3 linked regions of the Anolis sagrei genome follow. The protein of the gene in region 3 interacts with the protein of the main gene of each other region in a pairwise test. Links are inferred from orthologs where the notes say so. Each region holds a gene or a part of one and is shown on either strand. Other genes may lie near its edges. The genes, in order: PLEKHN1, GABARAPL1 and TAX1BP1.

Region 1 (9,881 bases), on a different chromosome or scaffold from region 3:
CCTTCCTCCTGTCTCCAGATATCTATAAATAACCACCACTTGCATAAAGTTTTTTTTTTCCAGGAGTGGAGCCTGTTGGAGAATGTAAAAAATTAGCATGTCATTAAAAAATTAGCATGTCACCACTGTGGATTAGGTTTTGTAAAAACAGCTAAAGTCTGTGCACAAACATCCAGTCATCCATCCATCCATCCTTCTATCTATCTATCTATCTATCTATCTTTCTATCTATCTTTCTATCTTTCTATCTATCTATCTATCTATCTATCTATCTATCATCTATCTATCTTTCTATCTATCTATCTATATATCTATCTTTCTTTCTTTCTTTCTTTCTTTCTATCTTTCTATCTATCTATCTATCTTTCTATCTATCTATTTATCTATCTTTCTATTTATCTTTCTATCTTTCTTTCTTTCTTTCTTTCTTTCTTTCTATCTATCAATCTATCTATCTATCTATCTATCTATCTATCTATCCATCCATCCGTCCGTCCGTCCGTCCGTCCGTCTAACTGACATTAATTCCTTCACCACAGGCACCCCAGTGTTTCTTACTCTCTCCATTGGTGTCGAATTTCACCATTGCCTCAAGGTTTTCGTCTGACATTAAATCCTCCACCACAGGCACCCCAGTGTTCCTTACTCTCTCCATTGGTGTGGAATTTGCCCATTGCCTTTCCCGTAGGTAAAGGTTTTCCCCTGACATTAAGTCCTCCACCACAGGCACCCCAGGGTTTCTTACTCTCTCCATTGGTGTGGAATTTGCCCATTGCCTCTCCCATAGGTAAAGGTTTTCCCCTGACATTAAGTCCTCCACCACAGGCACCCCAGGGTTCCTTACTCTCTCCATTGGTGTGGAATTTGCCCATTGCCTTTCCCGTAGGTAAAGGTTTTCCCCTGACATTAAGTCCTCCACCACAGGCACCCCAGGGTTTCTTACTCTCTCCATTGGTGTGGAATTTGCCCATTGCCTCTCCCATAGGTAAAGGTTTTCCCCTGACATTAAGTCCTCCACCACAGGCACCCCAGGGTTCCTTACTCTCTCCATTGGTGTGGAATTTGCCCATTGCCTCTCCCATAGGTAAAGGTTTTCCCCTGACATTAAGTCCTCCACCACAGGCACCCCAGGGTTTCTTACTCTCTCCATTGGTGTGGAATTTGCCCATTGCCTCTCCCATAGGTAAAGGTTTTCCCCTGACATTAAGTCCTCCACCACAGGCACCCCAGGGTTTCTTACTCTCTCCATTGGTGTGGAATTTGCCCATTGCCTCTCCCATAGGTAAAGGTTTTCCCCTGACATTAAGTCCTCCACCACAGGCACCCCAGGGTTCCTTACTCTCTCCATTGGTGTGGAATTTGCCCATTGCCTCTCCCATAGGTAAAGGTTTTCCCCTGACATTAAGTCCTCCACCACAGGCACCCCAGGGTTCCTTACTCTCTCCATTGGTGTGGAATTTGCCCATTGCCTCTCCCATAGGTAAAGGTAAAGGTTTTCCCCTGACATTAAGTCCTCCACCACAGGTACCCCAGTGTTTCTTATTCTCTCTATTGGTGTGGAATTTACACATTGCCTTTCCCATAGGTAAAGGTAAAGGTTTTCCCCTGCCATTAAGTCCTCCACCACAGGTACCCCAGTGTTTCTTATTCTCTCTATTGGTGTGGAATTTACACATTGCCTTTCCCATAGGTAAAGGTAAAGGTTTTCCCCTGCCATTAAGTCCTCCACCACAGGCACCCCAGTGTTTCTTACTCTCTCCATTGGTGTGGAATTTGCCCATTGCCTTTCCCGTAGGTAAAGGTTTTCCTCTGACATTAAATCCTCCACCACAGGCACCCCAGTGTTCCTTACTCTCTCCATTGGTGTGGAATTTGCCCATTGCCATTCCCGTAGGTAAAGGTTTTCCCCTGACATTAAGTCCTCCACCAGCAGCCACCCAAGATTTTTCCTAATTTTCCGATGGGTTTCCGTATCCGCGGTTTAAGGGAAATCGCATCCCGGGCGGACCAGCAGCCATCTGCAGCGCAGGAGTGGAAAGGTTCATGCCGAGAGAGGTTAGAGGCAATAAAAGGATACAAAATAACACTATGGAGAGGAAAAAGGTTAATTGATTAATTAATTGATAATTAATTAATTAATTAATTAACTAATTAATTTTATTGGGGGGATTAAGTACAATGATAGGAGTGGAAAGAAAGCGAAGTAATAAGAAGGCTTCTGAGTTGCAACTGCTGCTATGGCCGCGTTCATACAGGTTAGCCCAAGCGGGGCAATATAGAACTCAGGAACTCCCTGCTGCAGGTCAGATCAGCTTGAAGGCAGCGAGTTCTGGGTTTGACCTCAACCTAAGCTGCTGAAAAGAGCTTTAAAGAAAAACTTTCAAAAAAGTAACTTTACTCATCCTCCCCTCAGCCTTCTTCGATTCGTAGAGATGCTCGCCTCTTCCTTCCTCAGCGGACCATGCGAAGAGCTTCGTGCTTGCAGAAGCCTCCAAAGCCCAAGCGTGCACCTCGCCTGCTTGTTTTTGCAGACGAACAAGACTGGAGTTCCCATCCAATGAGAATTCTGAATCATCTTCTGCGGAAATGAGTCGGGCATCCCTTGAAACAATGGAATAGCCCATCATGCCTTGCTTCTGCAAACTAGCCACACTGGGATGGGACTCCGACAGGGGCGGCGCAACCATTACGCGAAGTAAGCATTCGCGGTAGAGTTGATTTTGCCCAGGGGGCGCTCTTGGGGGAAAATAGACCTTGACATATGCAAGTTGTAGTTCCTGGGATGTAGAGTTCACCTACAACCAAAGAGCATGCTGAACTCCACCAATGATGGAATTGAACCAAACGTGTCACACAGAACTCCCCTGACCAAGAGAAAACACTACAAGGGTTTGGTGGGCATTGACCTTGAGTTTGGGAGTTGTAGTTGCTAGGATTTATAGTTCACCTACACTCAAAGAACATTCTGATCTCCACCAACGATGGAATTGAACCAAACTTGGCACACAGAACTCCCCCGACCAAGAGAAAACACTACAAGGGTTTGGTGGGCATTAACTTTGAGTTTGGGAGTTGTAGTTGCTAGGATTTATAGTTCACCTACAATCAAAGAGCATTCTGATCTCCACCAACGATGGAATTGAACCAAACTTGGCGCACAGAACTCCCATGACCAACAGAAAACACTGGAAGGGTTTGGTGGGCATTGACCTTGAGTTTGGGAGTTGTAGTTCACCTACATCCAGAGAGCACTGTGGACTCAAACGATGATGGATCTGGACCAAACTTGGCATGGATATCCCATATGCCCAAATATGAACACAGATGGAGTTTGAGGGAAATAGACCTTAACATTTGGGAGTTGTAGTTTCCGGGATTTACAGTTCACCTACAATCAAAGAGCATTCTGGACTCCACCAATGATGGAATTGAACTCAACTTGGCAGACAGAAAATACTTAAGGCCATCCAGTCCAACTCCCTTCACCGGGACAAGGAAACGTAATCAAAGCCCTCCTGCCTAGGGGCATCCTTTGTTGGGATGGTAATCAAACTGGCCAATGTTCAAGAAGAACTAACACCGTATTTGAAAAAAATTATGAATAAGGTCAGAGAATCCAAAGAAATACAAAATTCATGGTGACAAGCAAACATTTCAGTGATACATAAAGAAAATGCTGATCCAGAAAGAGTCAAAAATTATAGGCCCATTTCGTCGCTGAACTTAGATTATAAAATATTTAGCTTTGTGATTGCAGAAAGACTTAAAAATTTGCTCAAGACAAGAATTAAGGAAGAACAATCAGGATTCTTGCCGAACAGACAACAGAAGGAAAATGTTAGAATAATAACAGATTTGATTGAATACTATGAAATTAATAACCAAAAGAAAGTGATGTTCCTGGCCCTTGACGCAGAGAAAGCCTTTGATAATGTCAATTGGAAATGTCAACATTCACACTTGAGAGTCCATTCTCCCACCCTGGACATCATTCCAGAGATATATAAACCCAATTTTCCTAGTTTCCAACAGACCTCACAACCTCGGAGGAGGCCTGCCATCGATGGAGGCGAAACGTCAGAAGAGAATGCTTAGAATCATAGAATCAAAGAGTTGGAAGAAACCTCCTGGGCCATCCAGTCCAACCCCATTCTGCCAAGAAGCAGGAATATTGCATTCAAATCACCCCTGACAGATGGTCATCCAGCCTCTGTTTAAAAGCTTCCAAAGAAGGAGCCTGCACCACACTCTGGGGCAGAGAGTTCCCCTGCTGAACGGCTCTCACAGTCAGGAAGTTCTTCCTCGTATTCAGATGGAATCTCCTTTCTTGTAGTTGCATCCTAGTCTGCAAGGAAGCAGAAAACAAGCTTGCTCCCTCCTCCTCCCTGTGGCTTCCTCTCACACATATTATACATGGCTATCATATCTCCTCTCAGCCTTCTCTTCTTCAGGCTAAACATGCCCAGTTCCCTAAGCCGCTCCTCATAGGGCTTGTTCTCCAGACCCTTGATCATTTGAGTCACCCTCCTCTGGACACATTCCAGCTTGTCAATATCTCTCTTGAATTGTGGTGCCCAGAATTGGACACAATATTCCAGGTAAAGTGGTCTAACCAAAGCGGAATAGAGCATGGGGAGCAGGACTTCCTTAGATCTAGACACTATGCTCCTCTTGATACAGGCCAAAATCCCATTGGCTTTTTTTGCCGCCACATCACATTCCTGGCTCATGTTGAACTTGTTGTCCACGAGGACTCCAAGATCTTTTCCACACGTACTGCTCTTGAGCCAGGTCTCATTCTCCCATTTTGTATCTTTGCATTTTGTTTTTCCTGCCTAAGTGGAGTATCTTGCATTTGTCCCTGTTGAACTTCATTTTGTTAGTTTTGGCCCATCTCTTTTGGCTTCTGGAATATAACCGTAGTACCAACACTTTGGGGAGGCGGTCGGACACCAAGTCACTTTTCTACTTTCTGCTCCACGCGTTGTGTTTGCCTTCTCTTCCACCTAAGAGTAGAGCAGGCTTTGTTTTGAGTTGCACAGTCAGCAAGAGCGAGACACAAAACCTGAATCACACCTTTGGACGAAACTCCCTTGGCCTTCCTTTGTTTGGCTAGCTACAGGTGAAACCGGCAAGGAGTCCCTGTGTCTGGGATATATTTTTTGCGGGTGGGGGGTCGTGCCTGGAGGAAGGGGAGAGTCTGTCCCTCCAGTTGCTCCTCGAGTGTCCCGGCTTTGTGTGATCGAGACAAAGCAAAGCCAAAGAGGAGGAGGAGAAGTCGGCCAAGCCAACCGCCTTGGGCGAAGAAAGCCTGTTGATTCCCAGCTCACACACCCCAAAGAGTCACCCTGGCAGGAGGAAGTGGGGAATGTCTGAGTGACACATCGAGAGATCCACACACTGACACACAAACACACACCTCCTCTGCCTGCCTTGCTTAGGCTGGGAAGGAAAACACTCTCTCCTCCTCCTCCTCCTTTTGGCCTCCTCCCTTGGCTCCTGTGCTCTGCTGCCCAGCTGTTCCTGGATTAGAGAGTCGTGGAGCAGGCGCTTGAACCACCCGCAACAACATGGGGAACATGGCTTGTGTTCCCCACGCCTCGGGGAGGCTCAGATATTCCTTTTCGAGGAAGCCCTCGCTCAGGAAAGAGTGAGTATCGTACCCGAAGTGGCCTTTGGAACACTTCTTTGTCTAGTTTGTCTTACAAAGGGATTTTTCGTCTTGGGTCGTCCCGAAGGGAGAAAAATCGGGCGAGTCCCTTTCTCGGGACCGATCGCGAACAACCGTGAGAAGTTCTCATAGATTAGGAATTAGGAAGACTGGGAACCACAGCTCTAGATGGATCGCCGGTGGGGTTCAGTGTGCTCTCTGGCTGCAGAGCAAACTACAACTCCCACTTTGGAGAGTCAGTCCCTCAAACCCCTTCAGAAGGTGGGGGTCCTGTGTGCCAAGTTTGGTCCAGGTCCATCATTGGTGGGGTTCAGTGTGTTCCCTAGCTGTAGGGTGAACTACAACTCCCACTATGGGGCGTCAGTTCCGGTGGGGTTCAGTGTGTTCTCTGGTTGCAGGGTAAACTACAACTCCCACTTTGGTGAGTCAGTCCCCTCAAATCCCTTCAGAAGGTGGGGGTTCTGTGTGCCAAGTTTGGTCCAGGTCCATCATTCGTGGGGTTCAGTGTGTTCCCTAGCTGTACGGTGAACTACAACTCCCACTATGGAGTGTCAGTTCCGTCAGGCTCCTCTGGTAGATTGAGTTAGTTATGGAGGTTATGTGTGCCAAGTTTGGTCGAGTTGGTTGGTAGTAGCTCTGGTTGGGTTGACCTTTGTATTCCCAAGCAAGGGGTTCAGTGTGCTCTCTGGTTGCAGGGTAAACTACAACTCCCACTTTGGGGAGTCAGTCCCCTCAAACCCCTTCAGAAGGTGGGGGTCCTGTGTGCCAAGTTTGGTCCAGGTCGAGTTGGTTGGTAGTAGCTCAGGTTGGGTTGACTTTTGTGTTCCCAAGCAAGGGGTTCAGTGTGCTCTCTGGTTGCCCCTCAAACCCCTCTAGAAGGTGGAGGTAGACATGGGGGTTATGGACCCTGAGTTTGGTCCAGGTCCATCATGGGTGAGATTCAGTTTGACTCAATTCTGTTGTCTCTGGTTGCAGAGTAAACTACAACTCCCACTTTGGGGAGTCAGTTGCCGCAAGCCCCTTCAGAAGGTGGGGGTCCTGTGTGCCAAGTTTGGTCCAGGTCGGGTTGGTTGGTAGTAACTCAGGTTGGGTTGACTTTTGTGTTCCCAAGCAAGGGGTTCAGTGTGCTCTCTGGTTGCAGAGTAAACTACAACTCCCACTTTGGGGAGTCAGTCCTCTCAAACCTCTTCAGAAGCTGGGGGGTGCCAAGTTTGGTCCAGGTCAGGTTGGTTGGTAGTAGCTCAGGTTCGGTTGACCTTTGTGTTCCCAAGCAAGGGGTTCAGTGTGCTCTCTGGCTGTAGGGTAAACTACAACTCCCACTTTGGTGAGTCAGTCCCCTCAAACCTCTTCAGAAGGTGGGGGTCCTGTGTGCCAAGTTTGGTCCAGGTCGGGTTGGTTGGTAGTAACTTAGGTTGGGTTGACTTTTGTGTTCTCAAGCAAGAGGTTCAGTGTGCTCTCTCGCTGCAGAGTGAACTACAACTCCCACTTTGGTGAGTCAGTCCCCTCAAACCTCTTCAGAAGGTGGGGGTTCTGTGTGTTCCCTAGTTTGGTCCAGGTCCATCATTGGTGGGGTTCAGTGTGTTCCCTAGCTGTAGGGTGAACTACAACTCCCACTATGGGGGGTCAGTTCCGGTGGGGTACGGTGTGTTCTCTGGATGCAGGGTAAACTACAACTCCCACTTTGGTGAGCCAGTCGCCTCAGTAAGTGAGTAAAGATACTGCAAGTCCCATCATCCATGGTCCATCCCCCTTAGAACTACTTCAAGATGTAGAGTGGTTCATGAGTACTCTGGGCCTGGTCTGTGATTTGTAGGGGCTACAATGCTCTGTGGGAAGTAAATTGGGTGAAGGTACTACAAATCCCATCATTCGCGGCCCATCCTGCCCTAAACCACACCAGGTTGTAAAGTGGGCCATTGGGCCTCTGTGTGCCAAGTTTGGTCCTGATCCGTCATTGGTTTGGTCCCGACAGCCTCAGACCCTTACTTTTCCCCTCTCTGCCTCCAAAGAATGTTCGAATGTTGAGGCTGGGCAATCAGACACCATATGCAAATTGTACCACAGTGGCAACCAATCAGAACGTTGCCCCATACATACCCACATACAAACATTCACTTTTATTATATATAAAGGTTCTGTATCAATATACCCACATGGCTAACACTCTCTCCTAACAATGCTACAACTCACATGATTCTGTACGCATGGGCTGTGAGCGCGCATTGTTTTCGTTGATGCTGCATTTTTTTTTATAGTCACAGATTTTTGTCAAATTTTCTGGTATTTTAGTCACACTATTCTGATCCGCTCCGGTATGGGAGGAAATATTTCTTATCCTAACACGACTTTGTAAACAAAGCCTTCAAAGTCACCACCTTGCAAATTCTTTTCCTGCGAAGCAGGGACATGTGATAATTCGAATGCTGGTTGGGTTTGGGTGGGGGTTGATTTTGTGATTTGGGAGTTGTAGTTGCTGGGATGTATAGTTCACCTACAATCAAAGAGTATTCTGAACTTCACCAGTGATGGAATTGAACCAAACTTGGCACACAGAACTCACATGACCAACAGAAAACACTGGAAGGGGTTGGTGGGCATTGACCTTGAGTTTTGGAGCTGTAGTTCACCGACATTCAGAGAGCACTGTGGACTCAAACAATGAAGGATCTGGGATTTATAGTTCACCTGCGATCGAAGAGTGTTCTGAACTCCACCAGTGATGGAATCAAACCAAACTTGGCACACAGAACTCCCATGACCAACAAAAAATCCTGGAAGGGTTTGGTGGGCATGGGCCTTGAGTTTGGAAGTTGTAGTTCACCTACATTCAGAGAGCACCGCGGACTCAAACAAAGATAGATCTGGACCAAACATGTCGCCAATACTCAATATATCCAATTGTGAACACACTGATGGAGTTTGATGAAAGTAGACCTTGTCAGTTAGGACTTGTAGTTGCCGGGATTTATAGTGCACCTACAATAAAAGAGCATTCTGAACTCCAGTAACACCTACAATAAAAGAGCATACTGATTTCCAGCGACGATGGACTTGAACCAAACCTGATACACAGAACTCCCATGACCAGCAGAAAATCCTGGAAGGGTTTGGTGGGCATTGACCTTGGTTTTGGGAGTTATAGTTCACCTACATTCAGAGAGCACTGTGGACTCAAACAAAGATGGATCTGGACCAAACATGGCACCAATACTCAATATTCCCAATTGTGAACACTGATGGAGTTTGGTGAAAATAGACCTTGTCAATTGGAAGTTGTAGTTGCTGGGATTTATAGTTCACCTACAATCAAAGAGCATTCTGTACTCCACTAATGATGGAATTGAACCAAAATGATGGATCTGGACCAAACTTGGCACTGGAGGAGTTTGGGGGAAAACAGAGCTTGACATTTGGAAGTTGTAGTTGCAGGGATTTATAGTTCACCTACAATAAAAGAACATTCGGATTTCCAGCTACGATGGACTTGAACAAAACTTGGTGCACAGAACTCCCACGACCAACAGAAAATCCTGGACGGGTTTGGTGGGCATGGGCCTTGAGTCTGGAAGTTGTAGTTCACCTACATTCAGAGAGCACTGTGGACTCAAACAAAGATGGATCTGGACCAAACATGACACCAATACTCAATATACCCAATTGTGAGCACTGATGGAGTTTGGTGAAAATAGACCTTGTCGATTGGAAGTTGTAGTTGCTGGGATTTATAGTTCACCTACATTAAAGAGCATTCTGTACTCCACCAACAATGGAATTGAACCAAACTTGGTGCACAGAACTCCCATGACCAGCAGAAAATAGTGGAAGGGTTTGGTGGGTATTGATCTTGAGTTTGGGAGTTGTAGTTCACTGACATCCAGAGAGCACTGTGGACTCAAAAAATGTTGGATCTGGACCAAACTTGGCACAAATACTCAATATGCCCAAATGTGAGCACTGGAGGAATTTGTGGGAAAATAGAGCTTGACATTTGGAAGTTGTCGTTGCAGGGATTTATAGTTCACCTACAATTAAAGAGCATTCTGAACTCCACCAACGATGGAATTGAACCAAACTTGGTGCACAGAACTCCCACGACCAACAGAAAATATTGGAAGGGTTTGGTGGGCATTGACCTTGAGTTTGGGAGTTGTAGTTGCCCTACATCCAAAGAGCACTGTGGACTCAAACAATGATGGATCTGGACCAAATT
Region 2 (9,881 bases), on a different chromosome or scaffold from region 3:
CTTTCTTTTAGAGAAAAAAAAACCAGGATGTAAAGAGGAAAAAGAAGAGGAGGGGGAGAGGAAAGAATAGGAAGATAAAAAAAAGAGAAGGGAGGGAAGAGCAAGAGAAGGGAGAGGAGGAAGGAGTAGAAGAAGAAAAAGAAGGGAAAGGAGAAGAGGAGAGGGAGGAGGAAAGAGAAAAAGAGGAAGAAAAGGGAGGGAAGCAGAAGGTAAGGGGGAAGGAGAAAAAGAGGAAAGGAGGGGGAAGAGGAGGAGAAAGTAAAAAAGAGAAGGAAGAGGGGGAGAGAGGAGGAGGAAGGAGAGGAGAAAAAAGGTGGAGGGGGAGGAGGAAGAAGAGGAAGAGGGGGGAAAGAAAAAAAGAGGAAGAAAAGGGAGATAGGGAAGCAGAAGGGAAGGGGGAAGGAGAAAAAGAGGGAGGGGGAAGAGAAGGAGGAAGACGAGGAAAGGGAAGAGGAGGAGGAAGGAAATAAGAGAAGGAAGAGGGAGAGAGGGGAGGAGGGAGAGGAGAAAAAAAGGTGGAGGGGGAAGAGGAGGAGGAAGGCAAAAAGAGAAGGAAGAGAGAGAGAGAGAGGAGGAGGAAGGGGAGGAGAAAAAAGGTGGAGGGGGGAGAAGAAGAAGAGGAAGAGGGGGAGGAAAGAGAAAAAGAGGAAGAAAAGGGAGGGAGGGAAGCAGAAGGGAAGGGGAAGGAGAAAAAGGGGGAGGGCGGAAGAGGAAGGCGGTGAAAGGGAAGAGGAGGAAGGAAATAAGAGAAGGAAGAGGAGGAGAGAGGAGGAGGAGGGAGAGGAGAAAAAAGGTGGAGGGGGGAGGAGGAGGAAGAAGAGGAAGAGGGGAGGAAGGAGAAAAAGAGGAAGAAAAGGGAGGGAAGCAGAAGGGAAGGGGGAAGGAGAAAAAGAGGAAGGGGAAGAGGAAGAAGGGGAAAGGGAAGAGGAGGAGGAAGGAAAAAAAGAGAAGGAAGAGGGAGAGAGAGGAGGAGGAGGGAGAGGAGAAAAAAAGGTGGAGGGGGAGGAGGAGGAAGAAGAAGAGGAAGAGGGAGGAAAGAGAAAAAGAGGAAGAAAAGGGAGGGAGGGAAGCAGAAGGGAAGGGGAAGGAGAAAAAGAGGGAGGGGGAAGAGGAGGAGGAAGGGAAAAAAGAGAAGAGGGAGGGAGAGGAGGAAGAAGAAGAAGGAGAAAGAAAAGGTGGAGGAGGGGGAGGAGGAGGAAGAAGAAGAGGAAGAGGGGAGAGAAGAGGAGGAGAAGGTTGTCAAGGCGACTACGCAGGGCAATTAACAAGGATGGAAACGTCTCTTGAAATGCAAACAGTGGTTAAGCATGACCTTGGCAAATACACTCGAGCGGCTTATATTTATTTTTTAAAAAACAACTTCAAAACAAGCAAATCCACAGAAATCCTCGAGAGCCCTGTCATCCTATGTCGAGGTCGTTGTTTGGTGGTGGTGGTGTTCCGAGGCTCAGCCTTGGGGCAGAGACGATCCCCCGACCTGGGCAGGCGCAGGCTCAGCAGGGACAGCTCATTGGCCAAGATGCGTCCGGGCTGCACCAAGGAGCCTCGCCTAAGCCTCCCTGCGTCACGCGGCGGCGGCTGTCTCGACGTCTGTCTCCTCGCGCTCCTCCCTTTTGCGGCGCTGCCTAGACCCGCCTTTACGCAGGAGGAGGGAGGGGGGCAGGGGGGCGTGACAGCCGCATGTAGGTCGCCTCAGAAGACAAGCCATCGATCGAGAGGGTTGCTGCTGCTGGGTCATCCTTACAAAACATCCGATGAAGGGAGCCTCATGCGGGCCTCCATGGGCTGGCAGTGGGGTCGTGGGGAGCCCCTTCTAAACAACCTCCCCTCCTTGGCTTTCAATTACAAAGGCAACCAAGGCGTTTCGGCCCCGTTGTTGTGATGAATACCCCACTTTTTCTCTCCGTAAGGAGACTCCAAGAGACTTACATTCAGGCCCGTAGCCAGGATTTTGTTTGGGACGGGGGGGAGGCTGAGTCTGAATGAGAGAGGATCTACCCCAGCAAACCTTTTGTATCGTTATCCCAATACCCCCATGCCAGAGGCGGCCCTAGGTAATTTTCAACGGTAAGCAAACAGTATCTGGCGCCCCCCCCCCCCAACCAATCATTGATATATATTTTCTGTTTGTGGTGGGAGTTCTGTGTGCCATATTTGGTTCAATTCCATCATTGGTGGAGTTCAGAATGCTCTTTGATTGTAGGTGAACTATACATCTCAGTAACTACACTTGCCGCACTTGCTCCCTTGCCTGGCCCGCTTTGGGTCCAGAGGCATGCCTGAAGACCCCGGTGTGTGCACCAAAAGTCACCTCTTCTCCTGACTTTCTCCTCAGCCATTGGGACCCAGAGAGGGAGAGGTGGAGATGCCCACCTTTCCTGAAGGTAGGTGCAAAAACAAAGGAGGGAGCGGAGGTGGGAGATACCTCCAGCCGGAGGGGCTCTCTCTCTCTCTCTCTTGGTCCCAATGGCTGAAGAGAAAGTCAGGAGAAGAGACTTTTGGTGCGCACGCTGGGGTCTTCAGACACTCCTCCAGACCCGAAGTAGGCCAGGCATGGCGGCTCCGCTCCTTGGCCGACCTGCGGATTGGGGAGAGGAGAGGAGGCGGGTGGAGCGCCGGGGATCAGGAAAGGGAGCCGGTCATGGGGAAGGGATCGAATGCGGAGAACAATTGAGCACTGGCTCTGCTTGTGCACCCGGTGGCCAGGTGGAGCAGGAAGAAGAGGGGCTAGGCGAGGCTCAAGGGCCCGGCCCCTTTGGGAAGAGGATCGCCCGGCAGCGAGGCAAGAAAGCCGAGGCTCCCCCCGGACTGCTAGGGCTATTGTGAGCTGAGGGGGCGCTCCTCAAGTGGCAGTCAAGGGGCATTTACAGAAGCGCCTCTGTGCCCCTGGCAAAAAAAAGTGTTCTGCGACCACTTACTTCGCGTAATGGACGAGCCGCCCCTGCCCCATGCATATGGGATATGAATAAACATAACAGTTTAAATAAGAAATGTTATTTATTTACTTTCATTAACAATATGTATAGAATAGAATCGTAGAATCCAAGAGTTGGAAGAGACCTCATGGGCCATCCAGTCCAACCCCCTGCCAAGAAGCAGGAATATTGCATTCAAAGCACCCCTGACAGATGACCATCCAGCCTCTGTTTAAAAGCTTCCAAAGAAGGAGCCTCCACCACACTCCGGGGCAGAGAGTTCCACTGCTGAATGGCTCTCACAGTCAGGAAGTTCTCCTCCGTCACAAGCACGGTTGGTGGGGACGAGAGAGAGGGCCTTCTCGGTGGTGGCCCCTTGCATCTAGAACATCCTTCAAATGCATTCAAATGAAGTCCAAGAAGTCCAAGTCCAAGAATAGGTAGAGAAGGAAGAAGAGAGAGAAAGGAAGGGAAAGAAAGGTGGGGGTGGGGGGAGGGAGGGAGGGAAGAGAAGGAAGGAATGAGAGAAAGAAGAGAAAGAGGGAGGGAAGCTTAGCCACAGCCACGCGTGGCGGGTACAGCTAGTAAATAAATAAACAAATAAATAAATGGACTGTCTGCTTTCAACCGGATTAAAGGGCAGTGCAGAAGGGGCCCAAATCATCTGATGCGGCCCTCCCGATGCTGGACTACAACTCCATGCCTTGGTCACCTCTAGATTGGACTACTGCAATGCACTCTACGTGGGGCTGCCCTTGAAAACGGCTCGGAAATTCCAACTGGTCCAACGGGCAGCAGCCAGGATGTTAACTGGGGCTCCTTACAGAGAGAGGTCAACCCTCCTGTTCAAGGAGCTCCACTGGCTGCTGTTTATTTTCCGAGCCCAATTTGAGGTGCAGGTGCTTACCTACAAAGCCCTGAACGGTTTGGGACCATCCTACCTGCGTGACCGCATCTCTTTCTATGAACCCACACATTCACTTTGTTCATCCAGAGAGGCCCTGCTCGTGATTCCGCCTGCATCGCAGGCGTGCTTGGTGGAGACTCGAGACAGGGCCTTTTCCGTGGTGGCCCCCCGACTCTGGAACGCCCTCCAAAAGATCTTAGACAGGCCCCTACATTGGCAGTCTTTAGAAAGAACTTGAAGACCTGGCTGTTCCGATGTGCCTTCCCAGATTAGGAATCTCCAATACCAAGTCCCAGAAGCACTTTAGTAGAACTAAGATTGCTGCACACCGCACACTGCACTTACTTTATAATCCTACATACCTCCTGCCACATCAGCACTTTTAATCTTGTACCCATTACTCTGGACCGGCCCAGTTTTATAGTGTCTTGATGTATTGTTTATTGCTTGTTGTTAATATTGTTTAACTGTTTTTAATTTGCTTTAGGTGTTGTATTGTGTTGTGTTTTGAGGCCTTGGCCTATGTAAGCCGCATCGAGTCCTTCGGGAGATGCTAGCGGGGTACAAATAAAGTTTAATAATAATAATAATAACTCGTTTGTTTCCTTCACTATGAGACATCATGACTTACAAAAGAGATGCATCATTTTTTGGAAGCTTTCCTGATTCTAGTGTGGCCTTCACCCAAGAAACGTATCCCCCTTTGATTCAAGCAGGAGCCTGCCTCTCCTTTGATTCCACCCCCTACACCCCCCCCCCGCGCAGAAATGGTGCAGTCCCAAAATGCGGGCGGCAGAGGCCGATGCGGGCTTTTAGCTCGGTGACGTCACAATGCCCGGCTTGAACCCTGGGTGTTTGTTGTGAATCTTGTGATCAGCTGAGCGAGGGAGGGAGGGAGACAGAGAGAGAGAGAGAGAGAAGCAAGGAGGCCGCCGTCGCGAAGGGGTTCTGAGTTCGCCTGAGACATGAAGTTCCAATACAAGGAAGACCATCCTTTCGAGTACAGGAAAAAAGAAGGGGAGAAGATCCGAAAGAAATATCCAGACCGGGTGCCTGTGAGTGGAAGGGGGGGGGGGGGGGAGGGGAACAGGCGGATGGGTGGGCGGGTCTATATTTTCAGGGTGTCTGTTGTCCTTCAAAGAGCTCCACTGAGACCGGACGTCGTTGTTGTTGTTGTTGTTGTTGTCCTCTAATCCCCCTCGCGCCCCCCCCCTCCGTTGGCCGGGGTGCTGCTTGGGAGCCGAAAGGGGCGGAGCTCCGTTTCCCCCTCTCCCCTTTCCTAAACATGGAAGCGGGGAGGACAAAGGCTGGGGGACGAAGTAACCTTTAGTAACCCGAAGCAGGCGCCCCAGGAGGGCTAATCCTTGGCACTGTGGCAAGTGTTGCTATATTTCTGTATTTCCCACACATACCTACTGCTTTTGGTCAGCAAACAAGTAGCTTACGGCTAGACCGCATCCTGGGGATGTTTGCTTCCGGTTTTTTGGTAGCATTATAGCCCTTCTTTCTAGCACAGCATTTCTCAACCTGGGGGTCGGGACCCCTGGGGGGGGGGTCGCCAGGGGGCGTCAGAGAGGTCACCAAAGACCATCAGAAAACACAGTATTTTCTGTTAGTATGGGGGTTCTGTGTGCCAGGTTTGGCCCAATTCTATCGTTGGTGGAGTTCAGAATACTCTTTGATTGTAGGTGAACTATAAATCCCAGTAACTACAACTCTCAAAGCTCAAAGTCTATTTTCCCCAAACTCCACCAGTGTTCACATTTGGACATATTGAGTACTTGTGCGAAGTTTGGTCCAACCACCATGTCAGACTACACAGAGAAGCCATTGAAATCCACAAGCATGTGGACAATTTCAACAGAAAGGAAGAGACCATGAAAATGAACAAAATCTGGCTACCAGTATTAAAAAACTCTAAAATTATAACAGCTAAACAACAGAGAGGAAAAGCCAGGCACAGATTAACACCTCCCAGCAACAGATTTTCCCAGACTCAGGCAGGCCTTCAAATGCTAATGAAGGTGATCAGCTAAACATTCACACCTAATTGCAGCAGGGAAGAGCTCCTTGCCCCACCCCAGCCATTCCACAGATATATAAACCCATTTTTCCTACTTCCAACAGACCTTCTCAACCTCTGAGGATGCTTGCCATAGATGCAGGCGAAACGTCAGGAGAAATGCCTCTAGAACATGGCTCTATAGCCCGAAAAAACCCACAAGAACCTAGCAAATCCACCATTGTTTGAGTCCACAGTGATTTCTGGATGTAGGTGAACTACAAGTCCAAAACTCAAGGTCAATGCTCACCAAACCCTTCCAGCATTTTCTCTCGGTCATGGGAGTTCTGTGTGCCAAGTTTGGTTCAATTCTATCATTGGTGGAGTTCAGAATGCTCTCTGATTGTAGATGAACTATAAATCCCAGCAACTACAACTCTCAAATGACATAATCAATTCCTCCCCCCCCCCCCCCCTCCCCAATCTCACCAGTATTCAAATTTGGGCATATCATGTATTTGTGCCCAGTTTGGTCCAGTGAATGCAAATACATCCTACATATCAGATATTTACATTACAATTCATAATAGTACCAAAATGACAGTTATGAATTAACAATTAAAATAATGTTATGGTTGGGGGTCACCACAACATGAGGAACTGGATGAAGGGGTCACGGCATTCGGAAGGTTGAGAACCAGTGTTCTAGCAGGTTTGAAATCAGGATAATAGAAGAGGCCTCATGGGCCATCCAGTCCAACCCCCTGCCAAGAAGCAGGAAAAACGCATTCAAAGCCCCACCAATAGATGGCCATCCAGCATCTGTTTAAAAGCCTCCAAAGAAGGAGCCCTCCAACACTCTCCGTTCCACTGCTAAACGGCTCTCACAGTCAGGAAATTCATAGAATCAAAGAGTTGGAAGAGACCTCATGGGCCATCCAGTCCAATCCCCTGCCAAGAAGCAGGAAAAACTCATTCAAAGCCCCACCAACAGATGGCCATCCAGCCTCTGTTTAAAAGCCTCCAAAGAAGGAGTTTCCACCACACTCCAGAGCAGAGAGTTCCACTGCCGAGCAGCTCTCACAGTCAGGAAATTCTTCCTAATGTTCAGATGGAATCTCCTTTCCTGTCGTTTGAAGCCATTGTTCCACATCCTAGTATCCAAGGCAGCAGAAAACAAGCCTGTTCCCTCCTTCCAATGACTTCCCCTCACATATTTCTATATGCCCTCATCATGTTTCTTCTCAGCCCACTCTTTAAGCCACTCCTCATTGGGCTTGTTCTCCAAACCCTTCATTTTAGTCACCCTTCTCTGGACACATTCCAGCTTGTCAACATCTCCCTTCCGTTGTGGTGCCCAGAATTGGACACAGTATTCCAGGTGTGGTTCTCACCAAGGCAGAATAGAATAGAAGGGGGAGCATGACTTCCCTGGACCTAGACCAGGGGTCCTCAAACTAAGGCCCGATGGCCAAATATGGCCCTCCAGGGTCATTTACCTGGCCCTTACTCAGGGTCAACCAAAGTCTGAAACAACTTAAAAGCACACAGTAACAACAAGAACAACAATCCTATTTCATCAGCCAAAAGTAGGCCCATATTTCCCATTGAAATGCTAAGAAGTTTATAGTTGTTAAAATTGTTCATCTTAATTATTGTGTTGTTGTTAGGTGTTTTTTGCACTACAAATAAGATGTGTGCATAGGAATTCATTCATGTTTTTTTTTTCAAATTATAATCCAGCCCTCCAACGGTTTGAGGCACTGTCACCTGGCTCTCTGTTTAAAAAGTTTGAGGACCCCTGATATAGACCCTAGACTCCTATTTATGCAGTCCAAAATTTCATTGGCTTTTTTTGCCACCACATTTTTGGCTCATGCTTAACTTGTCCACAAGGACTCCCAGATCTTTTTCACACATACTGCTGCTATCAAGCCAGGCATCGTCCCCCATTCTGCATCTTTCCATTTCATTTTGTTCTGAGTTGTCATTTGTAGCACAGTAGTAGAAAATCACCAGCAGTTTTTCATTCAGTTGTTCATTCAAATATGTTTTATTTACTAGTACTCTGTTGGCTTTTGTGCTGTATTAGTCATTATAGGCAGTCCTCAAGTTACAAATATCCAATTTATCTACAGCATCTAGTTAACAACAAGAGGAAGTGAAATGAAATCTACTTCTCAGAAGGGAAATTCACTCCTGAAAGTTATCATGGGGAAAAAGTATCTCCACTGAAGCTTTATCAGCAATCCTTGTTTCTAGGACAAGACAATTTTTTCAAAATCCAATTATCTCAGGGACGTAAAGTGAGATGAAATCTTTCGAACAGGAGCATGGGCAGCAAAACAAATGCTACAAACCCTTCGCTGTGCTATCCAAAACTGAATTAAAATGGCTGGAGTTACAGTTAAAATGTACCTGACTTATATAAAAAATTAGTTTAAGAACTAACCTACAAAATCTATCATGTTTGCCTGTATAAGGATTTCTAGACATTATTATTATTATTATTATTATTATACTTTATTTGTACCCCGCTACCATCTCCCCAAGGGACTCAGTGCGGCTTACATGAGGCCGAGCCCACAATACAACAATAAGACATAGCAACAGTAATACAACAATAAATAAAACTCATAAACAGAAAATAGCAATACACATTAACAATAACACAACGACGAATGTACTAATTAAATTTTTTAGAAAAATAATGCTGGGCGTGACCAGGTTTATAAACAGGATAGAAATTTTGGAGAGGGATAGGGCGTGCAGACAATCATAAATCACTACTAAAGTCTCTTAAAATCAGGAGACATTTCCAAAAGTCAGCATTCTCTATATTGCTGATATCTCTCAGAACTACCTCTAGATAAAGCTGGATTTCAAAAAGTATAAATCCCATCTGTAAGCCTGAGGGGACAGGAAAGCTAAATGTGTGTTCAGTTAGCAGGCACTTGTTGAAAAACACCTTGCTCAGGATATAGGCTCCGTGGTGGGATATTTTTTTAAAAAAAATAGGCATGTTAACAAAATTGCATAAGTGATACAAGGCTAGAAATACCCACTGCTGCATGATCAGTTGTTGAGAAGCTATTAAAAGCCATGTAGTTGGAATTAGGAAACTAAACTATTTATCTAGCCTTGCACATTTGGTTGCATTTGTTGGACAGTAAAGAGCTGCAATTAAAGGAAGAATGAAAAAAGTTACAAAGCTGTATCAGAAGGGAAATGGGCCTAGCTGACACCTCTGCAGTGACATCTCACAAGAGAATGCGATTGCTTAGTGGCAGAGTGCATACTTTGCAGCCCTGAGGTCCCAAATCTAATCCCTGGTATGATCAGATGCTGGCAGAGTCCTTGGAGTACTACTGACAAGCACAGTAGGTGTGTGTGTTGCTGTGTTAAGTGTAAAGGTGACTATTCAATAAAGATATAAGTACAGTTGACTCTGTGTCAGCTGCATTTGTTTGTTGATTTTATCTGTATTTCTCCCAAGGTGGGAAGCATCTTTCATCCTTCCCCTTTTGGCACGAGATAATTCTCTCTGTGTGAAGACAGACTAAAACAACTGGTGAGAGCTTTAACCAGAGACAGATCTACACTAACCCACCATACCAGGCATATGATGGATCAGCCCAGAGATGGGCCTGACAGGCAGACCCCACCCAGCTGCTGTAGGGATGGGAGAGAGTCCCAATACTCAAATTGGTTTGGTGCCACTGGCCAGCCACCCTCTGGTCCTTGATGTTGCCACAGTCTTCTGGCATAGCATGGATTCTACAATTGGTCATCACCTGCAGTGACATTGGCCAGGGAGACGAGGGAGGGTGAAGGGGAGAAATCATCCCCTCCTCTCTCCCTCTCTTTCCAGAGCACCCCATTGCCCTGGCCAACGTCACGGAAGGTGACTGCAGTAGGACCCATGTCATGTCTGGAGACTGCCACAGCATAGTAGGAAAAAGGGATATGCTAAGTGACATCCCATGTCCTTGGCCCACCTGACCCCAGGAAATGTGGGATGACAGTGAGGACAGTTGTAGCTAATTCTGTTTAGATG
Region 3 (9,881 bases):
GTTCAGTCAGAAGACCTGCTTGACAATTTTAATAGAGTAAAATGGCACATAATTAGAATGACTATGCAACTACTTTTTTGCTTATCTTGAGGCTGATATCATGAAAAGTATGCCGGAGTTTTTTTTTTCTTTTTGGCTCACGAGCTATCATTAGTATTTTATGCATATTTTATATGTGGCCCAAGACAATTCTTCTTCTTCCAACGTGGAAGTCAAAAGGTTGGACACCTGTTTGCCACCATATATTAGGAAATTGCAGTCTTCCATACATCATTTTATTAATAGAACCAGCACTGCTTCTTGTTGGCTATGCTAGCTAGGATTGCCAGGAGTCACCATCCAAACCTTTGGCGTGTCATGCTTTGCCCACCTATGTTTTAGGGCAAAAGGTCTTCAAAACAAAATTACAAGTATAGGATGCTGTGTATGCAAGAAGTTGGGCAAAAACTTGAAAAATGTGTGCACTATAAATAAGAAATGAAACACTCCCCCAGACATGGGTCTCCAAAGCGGGCATATTAATTACACACTAGAGAGCCAAATCATAGTGAGTTCAAGCAATTAATTCACAATTTGCATTTATTAAAAAACATTCCATTACTTTAACAATACAGTCATCCAACTGTGAAATAACAACCATTCAGATGTGCTCATTGACAGAAAATGTGGGTCCTTGTGCCCATTGTGCCCTGTGAAGCTGCCAAGTTTCACACCTCAAGACTTTCTTTTCCCTCTGACGCTCCACCCTCCCATACATACACACATACACAATTAATGTGTCTGCTCTCACCTATGTGCTTATGGGAAAAGTCACACATTTCTTCAGTCTCACGAATACTCATTTAAATAACCTGGCAACCTTTGAATAGATTTAGTTCATCAATTCTAATTAAGTGTTGGCAAAGATCTCCAAAATACACATAGGATTTTCTTCTGTGTAGGTGATACTAGCAATACGTTATTTCTAATATGTTCCTAAGGGATGCCTTCCATCTTTATAAAAGTATGTGTACCACAATTAGTTTTACTACCTAGGGATCAAACATTGTCTAATTGAGTCTATAACAGGAGCATCGTTCATGACTGAAAAAGGCAGATACTAAGTGATGTCATGATTAATATTCTGCTCAATTATTTTAGATGAAAAACTGACGTATAAAGCACACTGTATAGCAACACCAAAAATGAACTCCTGTTTAAGTGATGACTGATATATACCTTTCACATTTCAAAGTAGCCCGAGGCTTTTTGGGAAGACTGGCGCAAAAGCCAGACTACATCCATAATGAAGCATTGATCTGTACTGCTTTGCATTGGTACCATTACACAGTATCATTATTATGCTTTATGCTTCCATCAACCCAAGCTCTGTTATACAACTGTGTAGATTTCTTTCTACTGCTTTATATACATTGGAGAACTATATTACATGATGCAGATAGTGAGAGTAAAATAAAAATATATTGTCTTTTGTAACTGTTGAAAGAAAAAAATGTAGAGCTCTTCTACCTGGTTCAATTCTTCTGGTAAACCCTGGGCTATTATGTTATGTTTCTGAGTTGCACAACTTCTAGTGGAAATTCTCAGCTCTATATCCGGTCAGGGCATTCCTGAGGTTTCATCCTTTTTATTTAACCCCTTTCTTTTCTTTTGCCTGAGGATGTAGGGAAAGTTTCCTCCGTTCCAAAAAATATAATGGGGGAAGGAAAGTCAAAGGAGAACCTACGTCAAATCTTCATTCCATGCTTCATGAAGGGAACCACTTGAAGGTAAAGGAGAGAAAAAGGAGTTCAATACACTGTAACGTTATGTAGTAATTACTGTATTTATGAATTTAGCACCAAAACAGACAAGAGTTCTTTCTTTCTCAGACCCTGGACTAAATTGGATAATACAGAACATTGGATAAGTGAAGGTTGGATAAGTGAGACTCTACTGTGTGTATACACACACACACACACTTTGGATAGCATAGGGAAGAGCTAACACACCCATGCTGTTTGTTTTGCTGCTTGTGCCACTGTTCAGAAGATTTCACCTCACTTTCTGTCCCTGTGATAATTGGATTTTTTTTAAAAATGGTTTGTTGAGGAAACAGGACTGGCTCTAAAGCTTCAGTAGAGACACCTTTTCCACATGATTATAGAATAATAGAGTTGGAAGAGACCTCATGGGCCATCCAGTCCAACCCCTGCCAATAATAATAATAATAATAATAATAATAATAATAAATAATAATAAACTTTATTTATATACCACTCTATCACCTCGAACGGAGTCAGGCTGGTTCCAAGTATCAACACCAGCACATACAGAATCGCAACATAGGCAAAAATAACAATACTAGCAACATAAACATGAAGAGTTTCATGTCATCCATTGACTCTGGGGTCTTTTTGGCTGCAGAAAGTGTCTTTTTGCATTCTCCATGGAAATGTCCCTCATTTCAGTCCAGCGTGCTACTGGTTCCTGGTCAATTGGGCTTAAAAGTGTGCATCGATTATTTCACCTAAAAATTTTTAATCTTTAAATTCTATAGGGATGTTCTTCTGGTTGTACTTCAGCATGATACTTAGTTTGGTGTTATTTTAGCTTTACTCTAATTTTTGCTTAAAGAAGCAGGAAAATTGTCAAAGCACCCCCAACACATGGCTATCCAGCTTCTGTTTAAAAGCCTCCAAAGAAGGAGCCTCCACCACACTCTGGGGCACAGAGTTCCACTGCTGAACAGCTCTCACAGTTAGGAAGTTCTTCTTAATGTTAAGGGGGAATCTCCTTCAAGAGATTACTCTTTTATGAGTGAATTTTCCCTCTCTTCCTGTTGCCTTGCTCCTGTTTTTAACTATGAATCATTTATAAGCAGGATATTTGTAAGTTGGGGACTGCCTGTACTCAACCATGGTCACATGTACATTTATAATTTAATGCATTTTCAAACCAGTATTGAAGAAAGTGCTCATGCTGTGTGGATGATTACATAGGAAATCCTCAAATCAGCTTGAGGCCCAGATGGTGATTACACAAAGTACAGAATCGTGATGCACATTAAGGGCTTCCCTTCATGTGCTTTTGTGGGAGTTTTTTGTTCGGCCGCCGCAATCTGAAGCTAGCTGCGAACTGCATTAAATGGTCAGCATAGATGGAGCCCAAGAGAATAAGGCAACCCCACCAAAGCTAAAGAATGAGGAATGATGTAAGAAGATGAATTGGACCAGTTGAGGCGGAATCATTTTGAAGAAAAAGTTTCCTTAGAGTTATATAAAAAAGCATTCCTAGCTATTTTAAGTTAAAAATATACAAATTATTCTAAACCATATTCCAAAACATTTTTTACATATTCTGATGAGATACATATGGCACATATGATCTACATTGGCCTCAACCCAGTATTAAACCATCCCTAAAGGATTCCGGCCCAGCTTACCTATCCGAACGTATGTCCTATGAACCATCTAGGATTGTCTGGGGAGGCCCTGCTCTTGATCCCGCCTGCCTCACAAGTGTGATTGGCAGAGATGAAGGACAGTGGCCCCCCTGGCTATGGAACTCCCTTCCCAGGGATATTAGATCGGCCCCCTCCCTCCTGACTTTCTGAAAAAAAAAACCTGGCTTTTGAGCAAGCTTTTGAGAATGCAGAATAGATAACACGGAACTATGAATGATGAACATGGAATGACCCGACGATGTTACTGGATAACGTATTGTCGAAGGCTTTTTTCAGGCTATATGGCCATGTTCTACAGGCATTCTCTCCTGACGTTTTGCCTGCATCTATGGCAAGCATCCTCAGAGGTAGTGAGATCTGTTGGAACTAGGAAAAAAGGGTTTATATATCTGTGGAATGACCAGAGTGGGACAAAGGACTCTTGTCTAATGGAGCTAGGTGTGAATGTTTCAACTGACCACCTTGATTAGCATTTGATGGCCTGGCAGTGCCTGGGGCAATCTTTTGTTGAGAGGTGATTAGATGTCACAGATTGTTTCCTCTCTGTTGTTTTGCTGTTGTAATTTTAGAGGTTTTTTTAATACTTATACTTACTGGATTTTTAGCAGGATGACACCAATGATTATATGTTTTAACGGTGTTTATATATGACTTATATTGTAATGTTGGTTGTTTTTAATTGCACTTTTATGAATGCCTGGCATCGAATTGTGCTAATCTGTAACCCGCCTTGAGTCGCCGTATGGCTGAGAAAGGCCGGTTTATTTATTTAATTTATTTCGTATACTTCTACCCCGCCCTTCTCAACCCCCGAGGGGGGACTCAGGGCGGCTTACAAAAAGGCGCATCTTGGTGCCTACATAAATACAATAACATATAAAACCAGCAATTAAATGGTCAACAATTAAAACAACAATATATCTCACAATCGATAGCCAATCTCAGACACAGTGTTCGCCAGCTCAGAGTCCATATTTAGTTCCACAATTGTCCATTCCTATCCGTCGTCACAGTCCTTTGTTCATCTGCCAGATTGCCCAAACGCCTGGTCCCACATCCATGTTTTTAATTTCTTTCTGAAGGAAAGGAGGGATGTTGCTGATCTAATTTCCCCAGGGAGTGAATTCCATAGGTGAGGAGCCACTACTGAGAAGGCCCTGCTCCTCGTCCCCGCCAATCTCACTTGTGACAGAGGCAGGGCCGAGAGCAGGGCCTCCCCAGAGGATCTCAGACTCCGAGGTGGGACGTAGAGGGAGATGCGTTCGGACAGATACGCTGGGCCGGAACCGTATAGGGTTTTGTAGGCCAAAACCAGCACTTTGAATTATGCTCGGAACTGGATCGGCAGCCAGTGGAGCTGACATAACAGGGGGGTGGTATGCTCCTTGTATGACGCTCCGGTGAGCAGTCTGGCTGCCTCCCGCTGGACTAATTGAAATTTCCGAACAGTCTTCAAAGGCAACCCCACGTAGAGTGCATTGCAGTAATCTATCCAGGATGTAACAAGAGTGTGGGCCACCGTGGCCAGATCCGACTTCCCAATAAATATCGTAAATAATAAATAAATAAAATAATAAATATTTCCCTTGCAGTATTGTAAACACCAATAATCCCATTTACACCGTTTGAAACTGCATTATATTGTCACATGCCTTTTAACTGCATTGAGCTGCATTATATGAATCTATATCAGGTATGGGGAAACTTGAGTCCTCCAGGAGTTTGGGACTCCAACTCCCAGCATTCCTAACAGCCTCAGCCCCCTTCCTTTTCCCCCTCAGCCGCTTAAGCCGCTGAGGGGGAAAAGAAAGGGGCCTGAGGCTGTTAGGAATGGTGGGAGTTGGAGTCCCAAACACCTGGAGGGCCCAAGTTTCCCCATACCTGATCTACGTGGACCATATAATGCAGTTTGAAGGTGCAGGTTGGATTAATTACGTGTAAGAGTAACGAGGAATACCACTCTTTTCCGAGGGGAGGGGGCGATGTTATGAGAGGGCCGGACGCAGGAATGACGCGCAAACACGCACGACGTCGATTCGCTGACGTCACGCGCAGAGGACGGGGGAAAGCCCGAGCGCCGCGGGCCGGAAGTGACGCTGGCGTCTCGGAGGGGGCGGGGTTCCAGGGCGGTAATGGCGGCGGCTGGCGTTCGCAGTTGTTGAAGCCTTCGGCGTCTGAGGAGGTGAGAGGCCTAGTCGGTTGACGGCTGTTTCTTGGCACTTGGAGTGTGTTTGGCGAGGTTGTGAGGGGTTAGTGCGGCCTGTTCTTTTTCTCCTGTCACGTTTGTGGTAACAATTCCCCGCCCCCCTTTCCGAGAGAGACGGAAGGTGAGGGACCAGGCCTGTTGTCTAAAGCAGAGGGTTTGCTTCCAAAGGAGGCGGTTAACCTTGGCTTGGAGGGGGAAGCCAGGTAGGAGCCGCCTGACGAGGCCGAGGGAGAAGTCTCGAAAGGGGCCTGTGCTTAATCTGTTGTGTGTGGGGCGTTATGTAAGTTGTGAGAGGATTATGGCCGGGCGAAAGGAGGAGAAAAGCTTAGCATGGAGGGGAAGGAGGAGATTGTCGCTGGAAGACGCGACGTGGAAGGAAATACAGGGGACTCCAGCACACGCTGCTGCAGTACGTATATTATAATGTGGAAGAGCTCTTCCCATCAGAAATCATAGAATCATAGAATTGGAAGAGACCTCATGGGCCATCCAGTCCACCCCCTGTCAAGAAGCAGGGATATTGCATTCAAAGCACCCCTGATAGATGGCCATCTAGCCTCTGTTTAAAAACCTCCAAAGAAGGAGCCTCCACCACACTCCGGGGCAGGGAGTTCCACTGCTGAACGGCTCTCACAGTCAGGAAGTTCTTTCTCATGTTCAGATGGAATCTCCTCTCTTGTAGTTTGAAGCCATTGTTCCGCATCCTAGTCTCCAGGGCAGCAGAAAACAAGCTTGCTCCCTCCTCCCTGTGACTTCCTCTCACATATTTATACATGGCTATCATATCCCCTCTCAGCCTTCTCTTCTTCAGGCTAAACATGCCCAGCTCCTTAAGCTGCTCCTCATAAGGCTTGTTTTACAGACCCTTGATCATTTTAGTTGCCCTCCTCTGGATACATTCCAGCTTGTCAACATCTCTCTTCAATTGTGGTGCCCAGAATTGGACACAATATTCCAGGTGTCATCTAACCAAGGCAGAAAAGGGGTAGCATTACTTCCCTGGATCTAGATACTATGCTTCTACGGATGCAGGCCAAAATCCCATTGGCTTTTTTTGCCGCCACATCACATTGTTGGCTCATGTTTAACTTGTTGTCCACGAGGACTCCAAGATCTTTTTCACACGTACTGCTCTCGAGCCAGGTGTCCCCCATTCAGTATCTTTACATTTTGTTTTTCCTGCCAAAGTGGAGTATCTTGCATTTTCCTGTCATTTGAATCCATTGCTCCGTGTCTTTGTCTCCAGAGAAGCAGAAATCAAGATTGTTCCGTCCTCAATGTGACATTGTTTCAAACAATTAAATATGGCTGTCATGTCATGCCTTCTTAAACTTTGCATCACCAGGCCAAATACACCTGGCTCCTTCAGCCATTCCTTATGGGACTTGGCTTCCCAATCTTTTATTTATTACTAGCCGTCCCCTGCCCCGCGTTGCTGTGACCCACGGGGGGGGGGGGGGTTCTGTGTGGGAAGTTTGGCCCAATTCTATCATTGGTGGGGTTCAGAATGCTCCGTGATTGTAGGTGAACTATAAATCCCAGCAACTACAAGTTCCAAATGTCAAGATTCTATTTTCCCCAAACTCCAGCAGTGTTCACATTTGGACATATTGAGTATTCGTGTAGAGTTTGGTCCAGATCCATCGTTGTTTGAGTCCACAGTGATCTCCAAAACCAAAGGACACTACCCACCAAACCCTTCCAGTATTTTCTGTTGGTCATGGGAGAACTGTGTGCCAAGTTTGGTTCAATTCCATTGTTGGTGGGGTTCAGTATGCTCTTTGATTGTAGGTGAATTATGAATCCCAGCAACTACAACTCCCAAATGACAAAATCAATTTTTTAAGTGAAGAACATACATTGGGTTGTTAGGTGTCTTGTGTCCAAATTTGGTGTCAATTCGTCCAGTGGTTTTTGAGTTCTGTTAATCTCACAAACGAACATTACATTTTTATTTATATAGACTAGCCGTCCCCTGCCACATGTTGCTGTGGCCCAGTCTGTGTATATGTGTTTTCTGTGTGTATATGTGTTTAAAGACTGACTGGGTAAGATTGCAGGAATAAATCTATGACTAGTAATTTCCAACTTTGAGATTACTAGCCACGTGCACTACCATCTTCAGGTCCTCCAAATCTAGGAAGGAGCACAGCTAGTGTATCAGCCAAAGGTGATAGTAAGCACTCCTGACCATTGCATCTACCTGGGCTGACATTTGGAGAGACAGATTCAGGAGTACTCCCAAGCTGTGAAGACAGTAAACCCATCCAGAACTGATTGACATATCTCCATCCCCAGATTAGGACCCTTGTTGGCAACCAATTCTTTTTTGTCTGAATTCAGTTTCAATTTGTTCTTCCTCATCCAGCCCATTACCTGCTCCAGGCATTCATTCAGAGGAGACACAGTATCCATAGCTGAAGCTGTTTTTGAAGGCGCGGAGAAATATATTTTGGTGTCATCAGCATATTTTACAATTTTTAACCAAGGTGCCATTCTATCCCCAATGTTCTTTAATATTTACTATAAAGCCACTCAGAGAGATCACCTTGCCCATGTTTATGGATGATCTCTCCCAGTGGCTTCATAGTAAACATTAAAGAACATTGGGGATAGAATGGCACCTTGGTTTAAAATTGTAAAATTTTATTATTTTGGATGCCAGATAAATTTAGTTTCTGGTTGTTTGAGAGGTGCTATTAAAAATAGGCCTAACTGATAATAAACTCCATACCATACTATACCATGCCACAAACTCTGTAGTGACTGGATATTATAATATTTACTTGAATGTAATGCTTACCTTTTTTGGCTGCACTAGGTTGTGCATTGGATTTGCGTAATTTGGTAATCTTGGTGCTGATCCAAAGCAAAAGAGGAAGCTGTTTCAGAAGTTGCACCTGGAGCTCTTATTTGAGGGATGTCACCTCAAATTTGATTGCCAGGCTTAATGCTATGCAGTCCTGGAATTTGTAGTTTGGCAAGCCACTAGCATTCTTTGGTAAAGAAAGCTCAAGACCTTGTAAAGATACATGATTTCATAACATTGAGCCAAGGCTGTTAAAGTGGATTCATTTTACAGCACAGATGCATCCTAAGGTTTTCCTTTCAATTGCTAAAAGCCTTGGTGTTCTAACACTTTTGTTTTTAAAAAATCAAATCTAAGCATGTAATTTTGACCAGATTACAAAGAGTGCATTTTTGCTACTGCACATTATATTTACCAGCAAATCCTTTTTCTTTTTTTTGGTTTCAGAGTTTGAAAATTGAGGGGCACATTAGATTCAGTGGTACATTAGAATAGAGTAAATACAGTAATATTAAATACAGTAATTATAAAAGCAAAAAAAAAAGAAACTTAATGTCACACAGTCATAATTCTGTTTTACTATATTATGAAAACAGCTCTTTTATTTAAATTATATATTTTTGATATTTCTGCTGGTTGTTTGAGAGCTCCACTTAATGGAGAGACTATTGTATGGATTTCCCAACATGCAATAGCAATATTACTTTCACTGAAGCAATTCAGTAGACGGGGCCCAAATGATGTGCTAGTTTGTGCATTGGATTATGGCTGCATCTACACTGTAGATATAATGCAGCCTGGCTCTGCTTCAACATAGGATTTGTAGTTTGGTAAGGCACAATCAGTCTAAAGATATTCTGAAAACCACAACTCCCTTGAATCTACAGCATTGAGCCATGGCAGTTAAAGTGGGATCAAACTTTATTAATTGCCCTTGTGGCTGAAAGACCCAAAGTGGAGGCAAGTACGGACTGACACAGAAAGGGTGAACATCAATCCCTTTCCCTCTCACCTTTTCCCTGAGGTAACATAGCAGGCAAAGCCAATGTGGTATAGTGGTTTTTGAGTGTTGGGAACAGGGTTCAAATCTTCACTTGGCCATGGAAACCCGTTGGGTGACTTTGGGCCAGTCACACTCTCTTAGCCTCTCAAGAAAGCCACGGCAACCCCTTCTCTCAACAAATTTTGCCAAGAAAACCATATGATAGGTTTTCTTGTATGAAATGCCTTGAATGGACATACAGACACAAATTCTGGAGAAAAAACAGCAAAATGAAGTGCATCCAACCCTGTAAGAACTTATCCCCCACCTTGACTATAAGCAGGCAGAGGGAGGAAACAAGATAGTGCGATCAGTATAGCAGTGTTCTCTTGGCTAAAGTTTGGTTTCTGCTTTCAAATCTGCAATTGATGAGGTATAT

What was found.
Region 1: the proteins of TAX1BP1 (region 3) and PLEKHN1 interact in binary tests that used the Homo sapiens proteins (3 or more experiments, as listed by UniProt). The two-hybrid records come from large-scale screens. The link is inferred for Anolis sagrei from reciprocal best matches to the Homo sapiens genes TAX1BP1 and PLEKHN1.
Region 2: the proteins of TAX1BP1 (region 3) and GABARAPL1 interact in binary tests that used the Homo sapiens proteins (3 or more experiments, as listed by UniProt). The link is inferred for Anolis sagrei from reciprocal best matches to the Homo sapiens genes TAX1BP1 and GABARAPL1.

The regions. Positions count from the first base shown.
Region 1 is NC_090033.1:3,759,577-3,769,457, forward strand, and holds the start of PLEKHN1 (pleckstrin homology domain-containing family N member 1), read left to right. Parts: upstream 1-5,320; 5' UTR 5,321-5,570; coding exon 5,571-5,650; intron 5,651-9,881. UniProt on the Homo sapiens protein: Controls the stability of the leptin mRNA harboring an AU-rich element (ARE) in its 3' UTR, in cooperation with the RNA stabilizer ELAVL1.
Region 2 is NC_090022.1:168,109,634-168,119,514, reverse strand, and holds the start of GABARAPL1 (gamma-aminobutyric acid receptor-associated protein-like 1), read left to right. Parts: upstream 1-4,628; 5' UTR 4,629-4,787; coding exon 4,788-4,877; intron 4,878-9,881. UniProt on the Homo sapiens protein: Ubiquitin-like modifier that increases cell-surface expression of kappa-type opioid receptor through facilitating anterograde intracellular trafficking of the receptor. Involved in formation of autophagosomal vacuoles.
Region 3 is NC_090026.1:90,670,249-90,680,129, reverse strand, and holds the start of TAX1BP1 (tax1-binding protein 1), read left to right. Parts: upstream 1-5,520; 5' UTR 5,521-5,627; intron 5,628-9,881.